Saccharomyces cerevisiae S288C: one gene and its partners. The protein of the gene in region 2 interacts with the protein of the main gene of each other region in a biochemical or structural test. Each region holds a gene or a part of one and is shown on either strand. Other genes may lie near its edges.

The links. The genes of interacting proteins can lie anywhere in the genome.
Region 1: the proteins of RAS2 (region 2) and CDC25 form a complex in vitro, tested with the Saccharomyces cerevisiae proteins (6 studies listed by BioGRID, with this or other methods).
Region 3: of the proteins of RAS2 (region 2) and ERF2, one has a biochemical effect on the other in vitro, tested with the Saccharomyces cerevisiae proteins (2 studies listed by BioGRID).

What each region holds. Positions count from the first base shown.
Region 1 is NC_001144.5:751,687-758,818, forward strand, and holds CDC25 (Ras family guanine nucleotide exchange factor CDC25), read right to left. Parts: upstream 5,308-7,132; coding exon 538-5,307; downstream 1-537. Other genes in the region: IMH1 (Imh1p), read right to left, coding at 1-83; ATG39 (Atg39p), read right to left, coding at 5,951-7,132. UniProt on the Saccharomyces cerevisiae protein: Promotes the exchange of Ras-bound GDP by GTP. This protein positively controls the level of cellular cAMP at start, the stage at which the yeast cell division cycle is triggered.
Region 2 is NC_001146.8:439,099-442,294, forward strand, and holds RAS2 (Ras family GTPase RAS2), read right to left. Parts: upstream 1,473-3,196; coding exon 504-1,472; downstream 1-503. Other genes in the region: putative tyrosine protein phosphatase OCA1, read right to left, coding at 1-185; PLS1 (Pls1p), read right to left, coding at 1,699-1,821; PHO23 (Pho23p), read right to left, coding at 2,268-3,196. UniProt on the Saccharomyces cerevisiae protein: The S.cerevisiae Ras proteins modulate the activity of the adenylate cyclase catalytic subunit and therefore affect the biosynthesis of cyclic-AMP.
Region 3 is NC_001144.5:625,262-628,734, reverse strand, and holds ERF2 (palmitoyltransferase ERF2), read right to left. Parts: upstream 1,618-3,473; coding exon 538-1,617; downstream 1-537. Other genes in the region: E3 ubiquitin-protein ligase IRC20, read left to right, coding at 1-51; CDD1 (cytidine deaminase), read left to right, coding at 1,805-2,233; methionine aminopeptidase MAP1, read left to right, coding at 2,404-3,473. UniProt on the Saccharomyces cerevisiae protein: The ERF2-SHR5 complex is a palmitoyltransferase specific for Ras proteins. Palmitoylates RAS2, which is required for its proper plasma membrane localization.

The DNA of each region.
Region 1 (7,132 bases), on a different chromosome or scaffold from region 2:
GGGGTAGGGCTCATATCATCGGCTAAGCCCTTCGCTAATTCATCGGTAAGATTCTTACCAATTTGTGACAGCTGTTTGAACATTGAATCAGCAAATGTTTCCCTAAGTTAAAATCACCTCAAATGTAACTCCTGTTGCTTACTATTTGACGTTTCTGCTACATTTGGTTCTCTTATATTGCTGGATCTGAAAATCCGAACTATGAGAATGCGGGTAATAGCTTTTCATAGAATCACTAATTGATATTTTTTCAGGTAATAAGTTTCCTCTAATCGGGCATTTAAAATCTTGGATCGATAACTTAACTGGGTGTAATAAAATATATAAAGATATAAAATAGATATATATATATAAAACGAACTTTATCAAGAAGAACTGCAAATGAAGCGTACTCTCAAATCCTCGAAAACGAAAAACACTCCACCAGTACAGTATTATCACGAAGAATATTAAGTAAAAGCAGCCATCTTAAATAATAGAGTGTAGCAATCAAACATAAAGCTAAGGTTCTTCTTGATTAGCAAATTGTATAAACTTTTATCGAAATAACCTAGAAGGAGGTTTTTTCTTACCTAGCTTCAAAAAATTGCCATTTTTATCATCTGTAAATTCACTTAGGAATTTTGCAGTTTTTGTACCGCTAGCAGAAGAAGCATGCGTACTGCCTTTGGTGTTTCCTGATCTCGGTTCCACTTGCAGTGATAATTGATACTGCTTTTCAATGTGGGGGACATTTTCCAAAGACGCTTCTATAACGGTCTGAATATCATCCAATCGTTTCAGCTTGTAATGGAATCTTTTAAAGCTTATAATTTCCTCCACTATATTTGCGATTTTAGTCCTCTTGCTGAAGTTTATTATGTTGGTTGAATTGTGAAGAAAATCTGGGTTTCCGACAAACGTAAATGTTAAATCAGATAGGTATACACCAAAAAAGGGAACACATGCAACGTCCGTCACGGATCGCAACAGCTCTCTATACTTCACAAAATTTCTCTTGGAATCCATAAGGTTGTTTAGGTTCTTCAGAAGGTCCTTCGACTCAGTGGAAACTAAATCCCATGTCTTTTTCAGTCGGTAGATTGGGGAGGAATACAAAGCGGACACTATGGCAGTCATTGAAGAAAAATTATTCAACTCTTTACAATGCTGGGCAACGGTAACAAAATATTGCGTTAATTTTGAACGTGTCTTGACATCTGCCTGTTTTACAATGGTATGAGAAACAAAATTAGTTAGCGTATTAGCATTAGCTATAAATTTCGTAATGTTCGGAGAACCACCCATATTACAATACTTGGTACCCCATGCCCTATCCAAGCATTCAAACATAGTGATCCTGAGGTATAAGTCATGTTCAAGTACAGTCAATTGTGTGGCATATGTGTATGGGTCAATATCCAAGAGCTTCAATTTCTTCAATCTAAAAAACGCTGAAGAAGCAGAAGATGGTAAAGAAGACGAAGACATGTGTATCGGTGATTTATTGTCACGTTTAGTTGTCTGTACGACTGCCGATACCGAATCTTGTTGCTTAGGATCCACTGGTTCTTTCTCATTCTCATTTATCAGTTTTTCATTTATCTTTTGCAAAAGATCCTCTGCCCCCGGTATTTTCTCCGATACAACCATCTTGGCAAAATTTAGAATCAGTGGTATGCCAGGTTCATAATAATTTCTTGTCCAATACTGCGTCAAAAATGTTCTCATAATGTTGACCACACGGCATTTAATCGGGTTTGACTTTTTTTCTATCCAAATATTGTAATCATCGTAACTCAGCCCTTCAGGAGGATACAAGTTGTACCTGTAAATCAGGGCATAAAAAAACTCTCTTGTGGTTAATATACTTCTGAAAGTTATTAACATTGTAACATTGAAAGCCGCATCAACAAGTTCATGACTGGTTAAATGTTCAATCAGTGCCTCTTTTGTCCCGCCACGAATTTTTCCTCTTGAGTCATAGACAAGACTAGTTTCATAATCTGAAGTTAAAAACCATGGAAGGTTTTTCTCTATGTTCGCAGCTTTGCGTTCAATATAGTCCTCAGATCCTAATTCGTCATCGATGATAGCTTCATCATTTTCTGAATCGTCATCACTATAGTCCTCGGAATAAATATCAAACCATTTTTCTTGCTCACCTTTCAATAGTTCTGCAGTCAAATTATTCTTCATCATTCTTGCTGCGTAGTTCAGCAAATTTTCTCTTTCTTCAATCAATTGATCAACAATAATACACGCAAGATTAGAAATCTCGACATACTTTTCACAAGCATCTTTAAAATCGTCGGAGTTGTTTAAAAATTCAAGGTTATTGAACTCCACATCTTGACTCACCAATACGTGAAATAAGGAGAGTGCCAATTGTTCATTTTTTTTATGGAAGGGGCCCTTGACCAAAGGTGTATTAGAGATATTCTTGAAAGGTTCATGATGTCCGACAGGGAAATTGGACCTCATTGAGGAAAACAAATACGGGTCGTCTAAGGTCGTTTGTTGCGTTGTCATTATTAATCTGATGACGATGTCATGAAAAGCCTGCTTTATATCAAAAAACTCTGTTAGTACTGAGGAGACCGAAGACATGGCGTGAACTAAAAATTCCTCGCTTTCCAAATCCAACAAAATACTGGGTGTCTTAATCAGGTTTTTCAAATTGATGAAAATTGACAGATCTAAATTCTCCAGTATCTCCAATAGTAAAACATTCTGATTTATTTGTTCGTATGTGCTTGAATTTATTTCCAAATTCCTAATTCTGCTTTTGGGTTTACTTATAATTTTTAAGTGTTCACCTGTAGCATTATTTAATTTTTCAAAAATTTGCGAGGATTTCTTCTTCATTGTATTCAAAGTGTCTACAGTTAATGGATATTTTTTCTTCCTTTTTGAAACTCTTGCTCTTGAAAAGGTTCTGTTATGAGAAGGACGGTTGAAAGGTGTAAAAACTGAACCAGACGCGGCACTGCTTGCTTTTAAATCAATTTGGGAATTTGTTTCTGAATTAGCGCTATATCCTGACGCAGAGGCAATAGCATCTGCCATCTTTGGTGGAATCCTTGATATTGAGGAATTTTTGGACGACGAAGCGGTCACTTCATTAGATGTGACAGCTTTGTTCTTTGTCGCATTACCAAATTCATCCGTAATAAAAGTCGAAAATGGATTTGTCCAAGAACCACCGCTAAATGAACCTTTAAAAAATCTTGGGAGCAACTGTGGTAAAGTATTATCATCTGAGAAGACTGAGCTCTGTAACACAAAATAAAGTAACTGAACATGCCTTAAAAATTTCGAGAATTCCACATCAACCATTTCGTAAATCGATTTAGCTGACTTAAAATTTTTGTTGGACGGTGAAAAATCTTCCAAAGTAGAATTTTGTATTGAAGTCCTTGGTGTTACGACAGAATTAACACTATTTCTTGGACCTAAGACTGAGAAATTTTCCATATCGTTCTCATTGACTGTACTGAATGATGATCTCATTGGAGTCAATGTATCCGTTGTACTGGTACTTACATTACGTTTACCGGACAATGGAACTGAAACTAGATCATGTACACTATCTACTTCAATTTTACCATCATCCCCTTCCGTCCTAGAACAATTATTTTCCTGATTATCGTTATCCTTGTCATTCATAGTATCCATTTTTTTTCTGTGAAAAGCTGAATCGAAATATAAATGAGAATTGATACTTATCCTTGACAATGAAGAGATTAGACCTTTGAAAATCTTCTTAATCTCCTTGCTGCAACTTTTGGCTTTAATTTCATGTTGCATTAGCCTGCAGCCTAACTGTGTGAAGACTATTGAATCTGATATCAAATCAAAGTATTTCGTGAAATTGAGACGATTCTCTTTAAGGAACATCTTGTGAGCCGTTTTAGTATAATAAACTGTTAGGTCTTGTAATTCTGTCCACAATTTTATATCTCTTGAATAGTGATAAAAGATGTCACTCTTGGCCAGTATAGAAGAGCGACTTGGGGCAACTACCCTTGATTGAATATTCTGCGTTAAATCTGGAGCAGATAAAGAATTTAATGATGAAGGACCAGCCTCATTGAATTCGTTTTTGTTATTTTCGTTATTATTATCATCATCATTAATACTGTTATTATTTCCATCAGTTTCTTTTGAATCCTGTTTTTCCATTAGAAGGCTTGATCTATTTTGTTCACTTTCCGATTGCTTCGATCTCGTAGAACTGTCCTCAATATTCGCATTTTTCCTCAGATCTCTAGTATATAGGTTAACAAGATGATCATTGGGCGGGAATTTTGGTTCGCTGTCACAAATGTCATCGGATTCCATAATTGAGTTAGAAATCAAGGGTAATTCTGAACAGTATATATCAAGGTCTTTGTTATAGTATACCAACTTGTAATCGGATGTTTTCGTTATCAGTGGTATGGGGGACCAAGTCGAAGCAATGTTCGAACGTATACCATTAATAATCATTTCTATCTCTTCCAACGGTAATATCTTAATTGTTTCTTCTGCTACTAGTGGGGGACCTGCTTTCTCACCAGAAGTTTGTAAATTTGTTTCATTGTTATTCATAATTGCGTTTGTATTCATCTCAGATGAGCCATCTGCACTCTTTGTCATATCCTGGGATAGACTAGCATTGGAATTAAAGTTCGAAGATTGAGGGGTTATGTGGGAAGCATCGTTTGGCGCTGAAAAGGGAGAATTATTCATCGATACGGTGTTATTGTGGCCGGAACTTGTTTCTGCATTGTGGGCATTTGATAAAGACGCTGATAAAGTAGAACTCCCCCTCCTGCTCTTGCTCGGATTTCTAGGCACATGTAAATATGCACTATTGCCCAAGCTATTTAAGCTGCTGCGCCTTGAGCTCTTACTGGAACTATATTTTTTCATCGGATGACTGTGCTTTCTGAGATGACTGTCTCTTAAAGGTCTACCGAAGTTTTGAGGAAACCAGCCTCTGTTAACTTTCCCATTACTGTCGTCAATAACTAATCCATCCCACCACCCAGATGAGTTTTTGTTAAGTATATAAATGGTTTCCCCTTGTTGTACAGACAAAAGTTGCGAAGAACTGTCTTTTTTAATGGGATAATTAAAGTCATAAGCAGCGACTACTATTCCAATTGGACGAATGCTGGTCAACTCACTTGTCGAGGGGGAAGAAGAAAGAGAAGCTGAGGATGATTCTGTGTTAGTGGTAGTGGAAGTGTTAGATGAAGAGCTGATCGATGGAGTTTGTGAAGCATTGCCTGCCTCCCTTGCAGAACTTGTATTGGGAATAGACGTGTTAGTATCGGACATGATACAACTATCCAATATCCACCTTGCTTTTTCGTTTTATTTTTTAGTATTTATTCGAAGAAAAATGTGGCTCTTTTTATTCAATTTCTTTCCGAAAAAGAAACAGTCTATCTAACTAAAGGAATTGCTTCACGGTGATCAAGTCACTATAACTGTCTCCGCCGTGTTGGTGATGCAGTTTTCTCTGTAACTTTTGAGCTTATTTTTCTATTTTATTTTTTCCTCCAGGTCTCTGTCAAAGATCCGTCTCCCGCGATGTTTAAAAGTCGTTTTAGCGAATTACATAATAACCTGGAGGTGACTGACGTCGACTATTTTCTGCCCCATAAAGCAACAAAATATTTAACTCATAAAAGCTTCGAAGAATATGTAAATATAGTAGTATGAATCTAACTGAGTAAAAAAAGGGAATAACAAAACAAAAAAAAAGGAAAAGAGATGGATAGCATACGTTATGAAAGTAATAAAACCTTAGAGATAGAGATAGAGAGAGAGAGAGAGAGAGATGCACCTTTTCTATTCTCAATAAAAAAAGGAAAGTAAGTGTAAAAAAATTTAAAGGAGGGATATATGACACTCCTACTAAGCAGTCGTTTTTTTTTTCTTTTGTTAATTTCATTCTTCATGCTGGGTTTTGGATGATCTAGTGTTTGCACTTAAAATAATTTTTTTTCCTGCATTCTGACATCGCTTTATACATCCTCGAATGCTGTAATTTCAATCCGAACCGTTTCAGCTGCTTTACAAACCAGTTGGTATCTTTGCGAACCTTAAACTGAAAAACTCGGAATGGTTTCATTGACTTGAAACGAAGCTTGCGCAACTGCAATCTGGATCCCGACCAACATTGTTTTGCTTTTTGGCAAGAATGATCGAAATACCTTTTAATATGTGGAGAAAATTGCCTGTATTTATTATGAAGTAGCACAAAGAGCCTTTTCCAGCGGCGTTTCTGTTCTTTATGCAATACCCTTAAACTTTCTTGAGCGGATTTAAAAGAATTCTTGAGAAATAGGTGTAACTTTATTCTTCCTCCGTTTATTTTGTTAATTCTCTTGTGCCAACCGTCTTTCATTCGAGCTTTTGTTGTATACCATAAAATAACTAAGTCTGTTTTGTATCGTCTCCAGCCCATTAGGTCATCATCCTTTAATGGGTATGCAATATGATTGTCGAAGTCGACGTAGTATTTTCCTGAAGGAGCCCACTGACTTAAAGAGTCACTTGATGAATCGTAAGATTTTTTATCAACAAAATCGATATTGCCGTACAACAGCTTCCTTTCATTATTACGTAATGACTGTTGTGATTTAAAACCTGCCAACACATCACCAGTCAGGGAATATTCGAGGGCGAGGTATGAAAAGGTCATGGAAAGCAATGAAGATAGCATGATAACATGCCACATCTTCAATTTAGCAGATTTACCCTCACTTTTATCTATGATATGATCCGATAGTGTGCTAGAATTCCTTATCGTACTATCCTTCAGTTTCGACCCCTCCATACTTGGCAATACCGTTCCGCCAACATTTGAGCCGGACAAAGTATCAAATGACTCTGAAATAGTGGGAACTCCAGTTTGATCAATATTAACTCCAGCATTACTAAATTCATTAGATGTTCTAAAATCGTAAATACGATTCATCTGTGCAGACTCTTCACTGCTAGTGTTCGATAGGACATCTGCATCGAAGTCCTCGTCGTCCTCTCCTGCAAAGGAGCTTTCATGCAAACTATCCAAAGATATTTCTGACTTCGATGACTGTTCTTCCCCTTCTCTCCCTTTACGTAATCTACGTAATCTAACTAAATTCCAATGATC
Region 2 (3,196 bases):
GCATGTGATACCAAGACCTTTTCGCGACCAGATTCTGTTTCTTCATTGATATATATATGATCATCATCGTCGTCTTCTTCCTCGTCTTCGTCTTCTACTTCTTCTTCAGGTACGGATACGTTCTCTTCTGTGAGGCGGGACTCATCCTCTGGAACGTCCTCATATTCACCAACTTTAGATGTCATTCTAAGGGGAAAGAGAAGCTTGTTATTCCAGGTGGAACACCTCTTTCTTGTGAAAATGGATGTGATTGATGACTCTCTGCAATGTCCAATTTTATGTTATAGCGATGTTGTTTGTTTTTTCCTTTACCCGGCAACCATATGATATTGCCCAAAGTTTCCAATGTTAACAAGAATGAAACGGAAATAGCAAATGGCAATAAGCAATATAAAAACAGTCACTTTTTTATTTACTTTTGTATATATTTATAAATGTGTGTACTCGTTTCAACTTTATAGAGTTCTTTTCGTCTTAGCGTTTCTACAACTATTTCCTTTTTATTAACTTATAATACAACAGCCACCCGATCCGCTCTTGGAGGCTTCACTGGTGTTACCGCCGGGTGCAGCTTGCTGCTTCCTAGCCTGTTTAGCATTTGAAACTTGACCGGCCTTACTATTATTATTTACACGATTATTAACCGTATTAGCGCTTTGAGCGTTGGCCTGACCAGCTTGGCCCGTGGAATTGTCTATATTGGTGCGATCAGTTTGTGTCTTACCATTTGTCGCCTGGTTGCCTGCCAACCCTGTCTTACTCTCTATGCTTGCATTCCTGGCATTCACGACAGTTGTGCTACTGTTCACATTTTTACCGTTGGCAGCATTGCTCATCTTCCTGTGGCCACCGCTATTTCTAGGCACAGAGTTGGCACCGCTCCCTTTTGTATCTTGAGAAGTTTGCTTGGAGTTGTCATTTTCCGTCAAAGTCTTGTTGTACTTGCCGCCTTCGTCTCTAACTAAACGTGCTAGAGTGTAAAACGCCTCTTCCACGTTGATTGCTTGCTTAGCAGATGTCTCCAAGAAAGGAGCGTTCATTTGCTTTGCCATGTTCAACCCGTCCTGGTAAGAGACCTGTTTTTCGTTTTCTAAATCAGATTTGTTACCAACAACCACAATTGGAACATAGTCGGTATCTTTGACTCTCAATATCTGTTGATAGTAAGTCATAAGCTCATCAAGAGACGACTTGGACGTTATAGAGTAAACCAATAGGAATCCTTCGCCGTTGCGCATGTATTGTTCCCTCATAGCAGAGTATTCTTCCTGCCCTGCAGTATCCAAAATGTCCAATATAGACACTTCATCATCAATCACCACTTGCTTCCTGTATGAATCCTCAATTGTGGGATCGTATTCATCTACAAAGTGCGATTGGGTCAATTGTATGGTCAAAGCAGATTTACCAACACCACCACCACCAACGACGACTAGCTTGTACTCTCTTATGTTCGACTTGTTCAAAGGCATTTTTTTTTCTGTATATCTCCTTTCAATTCGAAAACGGTTAACTTGGTTTTTTTATCCGTAATTCTCTCGTATCTTTCTGCTCAAGTAATTTTCTCCTAGTTGATTAATATAGTGCAGAAGAGTCAGATAAAGAGTGGATGAATAAAATGGAAAAAAAACAAAAGCCGGATTGCGTTACGCTTGAAATGAGCGATTCTAGGCGATAAGAGAAGACAACGGCTAAAACTTAAGATGTTGGGGTACTATAAATGTTTACCCAGATTTTCGGTAGAAATGTTTGCTGATGTGAACCTTGTTTCCCGTTTTCCCAGATCCCCTTATTCCAGCTTTGTTTCGTCTTTGCTGTCATGTTCCGTTTAATTTCTGAAGGCCTGCCTAGCTTCACCGTCCTAAATGTCACGCTCCAGGCAGAGACATGGCGCAGGGGCGAGGCCAGGGGCAAAGGGGTCAGGCAGGAACCTCCAAGGGGGGCGAGGTGAATGAAAAGGTCCTTCTGAATAAAAAGCCTAAGCGATTAGCCACACCACCCACTGTACGGCGATTAGACTGAGCTGCTGGCGCTGCTACGCCGTGACAAGTCATTTCATCATTTATTACGTTTTATCGTGCCGTCATCACCATCGATTTGAATATTTTATCTAGACCGGTAGGGCCCAAGTATCTTGCAGATCCATTGATACGGCCACGCCCGTTAAAACGCTAAGATATATATATATGTAGCTAAGATATATATATATGTATATATTCGGTATTTAGTAGATATTTCCTTAAGGCGATATTCGCCCGAGAGCTATTTCACAGTTTTTTTTTGCAGTCGTCGCAATACCACTTGCCCTTAGGTAGAGTTTCGAGTCCAATACATGGCAAATGGAACCATTCTAGCTCACAGTCTGCGCCATCACACCCCACCATTTCCCCGTATGCCACTTGGTTACAGTAGCAGTAGAGCGGTTCGCCGTAGTCGTTGGTTTTTGGTCTTGATATCCTGCTGTTGTTGCTGTTTCCGACGCTGCTAACTCCCCTGGACGCTGTAGATGTACCTATCCTGCCATTATTGACGGCAGTTGCCGTGCTGATAGTGCTTGGTGAAACGGCTGTGGTGGCAACTCTCCTCTTGCGTTTTTTGGTCTCTGGATCGGCGTTGTTGGTATTGGCAGCGTTGGCTCTTTTTCTTGAGTTTGTGTTGTTACCAGTGTGGTCTTGGCTCTCGTGCCTGCTGCCTCCGTAGTTTGCGTCGTTCTTTGAGTCGTCTTGTTGGTGTGTGCTGGCGGAGTAATGTTCGCCCTGCCTCCTGTTGGCAGCCATGGCTTCTCTTCTTGATTCGCTCTTCAGTGCCTGCGACGATTTGCTGTTTGATTTGCTCTCTATTTTTTCCATTAGTTCATGATGGAGGTGCATTGCTGGATGGTTGTCCACACCCAGTCTTAAACCTCTAGGAATTTCTGTGTTCTTGATTGCGACTTCATACGCCAATTCTAACCGGGACGTCAATCTGTCTAGATTATCCAGCATAATGGATGAGACATGCATTTTCTCCTCCAGCGATGGCATCAGTTCTTCATAAATCTTGTTGATATTATTGAGCAGTCTTACTTGTGTTTGGTGATCTTTATTGAAGTCTTTCTTCAAGAACTTATCTATCCTCTCGTTCAAATTCGGCATAGAATGCACACATTTTGCATCTATTTCGTGTAGTAATGTTAAATATCTGGAGGTGGCCAGTG
Region 3 (3,473 bases), on a different chromosome or scaffold from region 2:
GAAGTCAGTAATGAACACTTATGGAACTGCTTTTTTCACGGTAGTGATTAGAGAAGTATGACTTTTAAACCAGACACTAATATATTAAAATATTTAATCTTTTGAATTTTTATATAAACGGTTGCCGTAATTACTATATATATATTCAATGGTAGGAAAAAAAGATGCTGCACGTTGTCTGACATCTGAAGAAGAGTGCTAATATGTAGCTTCAAAATTTTCGGAAGGCAAAAATAATGGTTGCTAAGAGATTCGAACTCTTGCATCTTACGATACCTGAGTATTCCTACAGTTAACTGCAGTCAAGATATTTTCTTGAATCAGGCGCCTTAGACCGCTCGGCCAAACAACCACTTATTTGTTGTAAAAGTTATACGAAAAGAACCTTTTAATGAATGTTTTTTTTAACATTCTAGCCAATTTCCAACGTTTATTTGCGTATACTCAACCTATACTATGGCGGAATTCACTCCTTTCAGTAACCTTTTTATATTTTACGTACTACTGTGTCGCTGAGTTCTTTATATCTATACTTCCTTATATTTTCTGTATTTTTTCAAAGCTGTGTGCTGGCGATAAATCCATAAATCTCCAATCTCCAGCTTCATGTGGCTTTCTGGCACTTACAAAGCTTGGGCCCCTTGGTTCTAACATCAAGTGACCCATATTTTTCAAAAAGGACCCCTTATTATATATGTTTTCCTCCTTGACCACACGATGGAATACAGGGTTTTTTTTCGATCCAATACCTTTCAAAAATTCCCTTGTTGTTTGCTGATTACCTGCCATAAATATGTGATAAGTAAACAGTATTGCCGGATACCATAAGGTTAGCCCTGCATAGCAAAGTAACAATATTGCAACGGGACAATCGCGAGGCCCCCCTGATTCCCGTGCAATATGGATGGCACAATTAGTTAATAATATGACGGACGAAAGTATTGCACCTAACAGGAATATTAAAAAGAACCGGTAGTTCCTTTTTCCTATGCAATTATTGACCCATATGCAATGGTGGTCATGAACCATTACGCAGACGTTACATGTGGAACAGTGAGAAGACCGAGGTGGTCTCCATATCCTACATGATGGACAATACTTGATAGTAATGTCTTTTGAAATTGAAGAATGTGTTGGTAGTGTTATCAAGTTGTAATATTCTTGCGGGATCTGATAATTATTTCTTAGTTGACTTAAATGAATATTTCTCGGAAGAACGCCAGGATCACTAGTGGCTGTTCTGATAAAGGATGCTAGCGTTATGACCCAAAAATAATAGAAGAAAATGACCAGCACTTTATAACCATTTTGGGTATGCCACAATTTGTGAGCCTCAAATATGGAGAAGAGAACCATGGGACATACAATAGCAAGGAGAACACCTAACCACAACGGTTTGGCGCCCTTTACTGTCCTGAACCTGCCACCAAGGAAGAATATATAATTCGAGACATTCGGTAACGATATATAACCTTTTCCATCGTTTATATCCTGATCACCCTCCAAGGTAACAAGCCATCGGAAGAACAACTTCGTCAATGAACCTTCTCCTGTATGCTCTTCCTTTGTTATTGAGGTGCTTTCCGATCTTGTCGACCTTCTAGAGACCAAGGCCATTATCTTCCCCGTTTCTCTTCTTGTTACCTTACGCTTTCTTTCCTTTACATTTTTATATTTGCAAACTGTAATCTTGATAAGGCGCTGCTCGCCAATTTCCGAGTAGTTTGACAAAATAAACACAAACTGTTTATGTACAAGAAACTAGGAAAACCAAACAGAGAATCTCAAGCAGAGAAATAAGGTAATGAAAGTAGGTGGCATAGAAGACAGACAACTGGAAGCCTTAAAAAGGGCGGCACTGAAGGCGTGTGAACTCTCCTATAGCCCCTATTCTCACTTCCGTGTCGGTTGTTCCATATTAACAAATAACGATGTTATCTTCACTGGTGCTAATGTCGAGAATGCAAGCTACAGTAATTGTATATGTGCAGAACGATCTGCTATGATACAAGTTCTAATGGCAGGCCATCGCTCAGGATGGAAATGCATGGTCATTTGTGGCGATTCTGAGGACCAGTGTGTTTCCCCTTGCGGCGTTTGCAGGCAGTTTATCAATGAATTTGTGGTCAAGGACTTTCCAATAGTCATGCTTAATTCCACAGGTTCTCGTTCTAAAGTCATGACAATGGGAGAACTGCTGCCCATGGCTTTTGGTCCATCTCATTTAAACTAGCAGCAATCTTTATTTGGCTGCTCCCCGAAAAGAAAGCGAAAATTTTTTACTTATTTTTTTTTTTTTTCATTTTTCATATAAAGAAGAAAAACTGATATTATTATTATTCATCCCAAGAACGCTATTGTGTATATTCCTAGCAAGAAAAAAATAAGCAAAAAAATTGTATAATGAGCACTGCAACTACAACAGTTACTACCTCCGATCAGGCTTCTCATCCTACCAAGATATATTGCTCCGGTTTGCAATGTGGTAGAGAAACTTCGTCCCAAATGAAATGCCCTGTTTGTCTAAAACAAGGCATCGTTTCCATTTTCTGCGACACAAGCTGTTATGAAAACAACTACAAAGCTCACAAAGCTTTGCACAATGCTAAGGACGGCTTGGAAGGTGCTTATGATCCTTTCCCAAAATTCAAATATTCTGGTAAAGTGAAGGCTTCATATCCACTTACCCCAAGAAGGTATGTCCCTGAAGATATTCCTAAACCGGACTGGGCCGCTAATGGGCTACCAGTCAGTGAACAAAGAAATGATAGACTTAACAACATCCCTATATACAAGAAAGATCAAATTAAGAAGATTAGAAAGGCATGTATGTTGGGTAGAGAAGTTCTTGATATTGCCGCTGCCCATGTCAGACCAGGCATCACTACAGATGAATTAGATGAAATCGTCCACAATGAAACAATTAAGAGAGGTGCCTACCCTTCCCCTCTTAATTATTACAACTTTCCTAAATCGCTTTGTACCTCTGTCAATGAAGTTATTTGTCACGGTGTGCCCGATAAAACTGTCTTGAAGGAAGGTGATATTGTCAATTTAGATGTTTCCTTATACTACCAAGGTTATCATGCAGACTTGAATGAGACATATTATGTCGGCGAAAACATTTCTAAGGAAGCTCTTAATACTACTGAGACCTCAAGAGAATGTTTGAAACTAGCCATTAAAATGTGTAAGCCAGGTACCACCTTCCAAGAGTTAGGTGATCATATTGAAAAACACGCTACCGAAAATAAGTGCAGTGTAGTAAGAACTTATTGTGGACATGGTGTTGGTGAATTTTTCCATTGTTCCCCAAATATTCCCCACTACGCCAAGAATAGAACACCTGGTGTTATGAAACCAGGTATGGTTTTCACCATCGAACCTATGATTAATGAAGGTACTTGGAAGGATATGACCTGGCCTGATGACTGGACTTCTACCACCCAAGACGGTAAACTGAGTGCTCAATT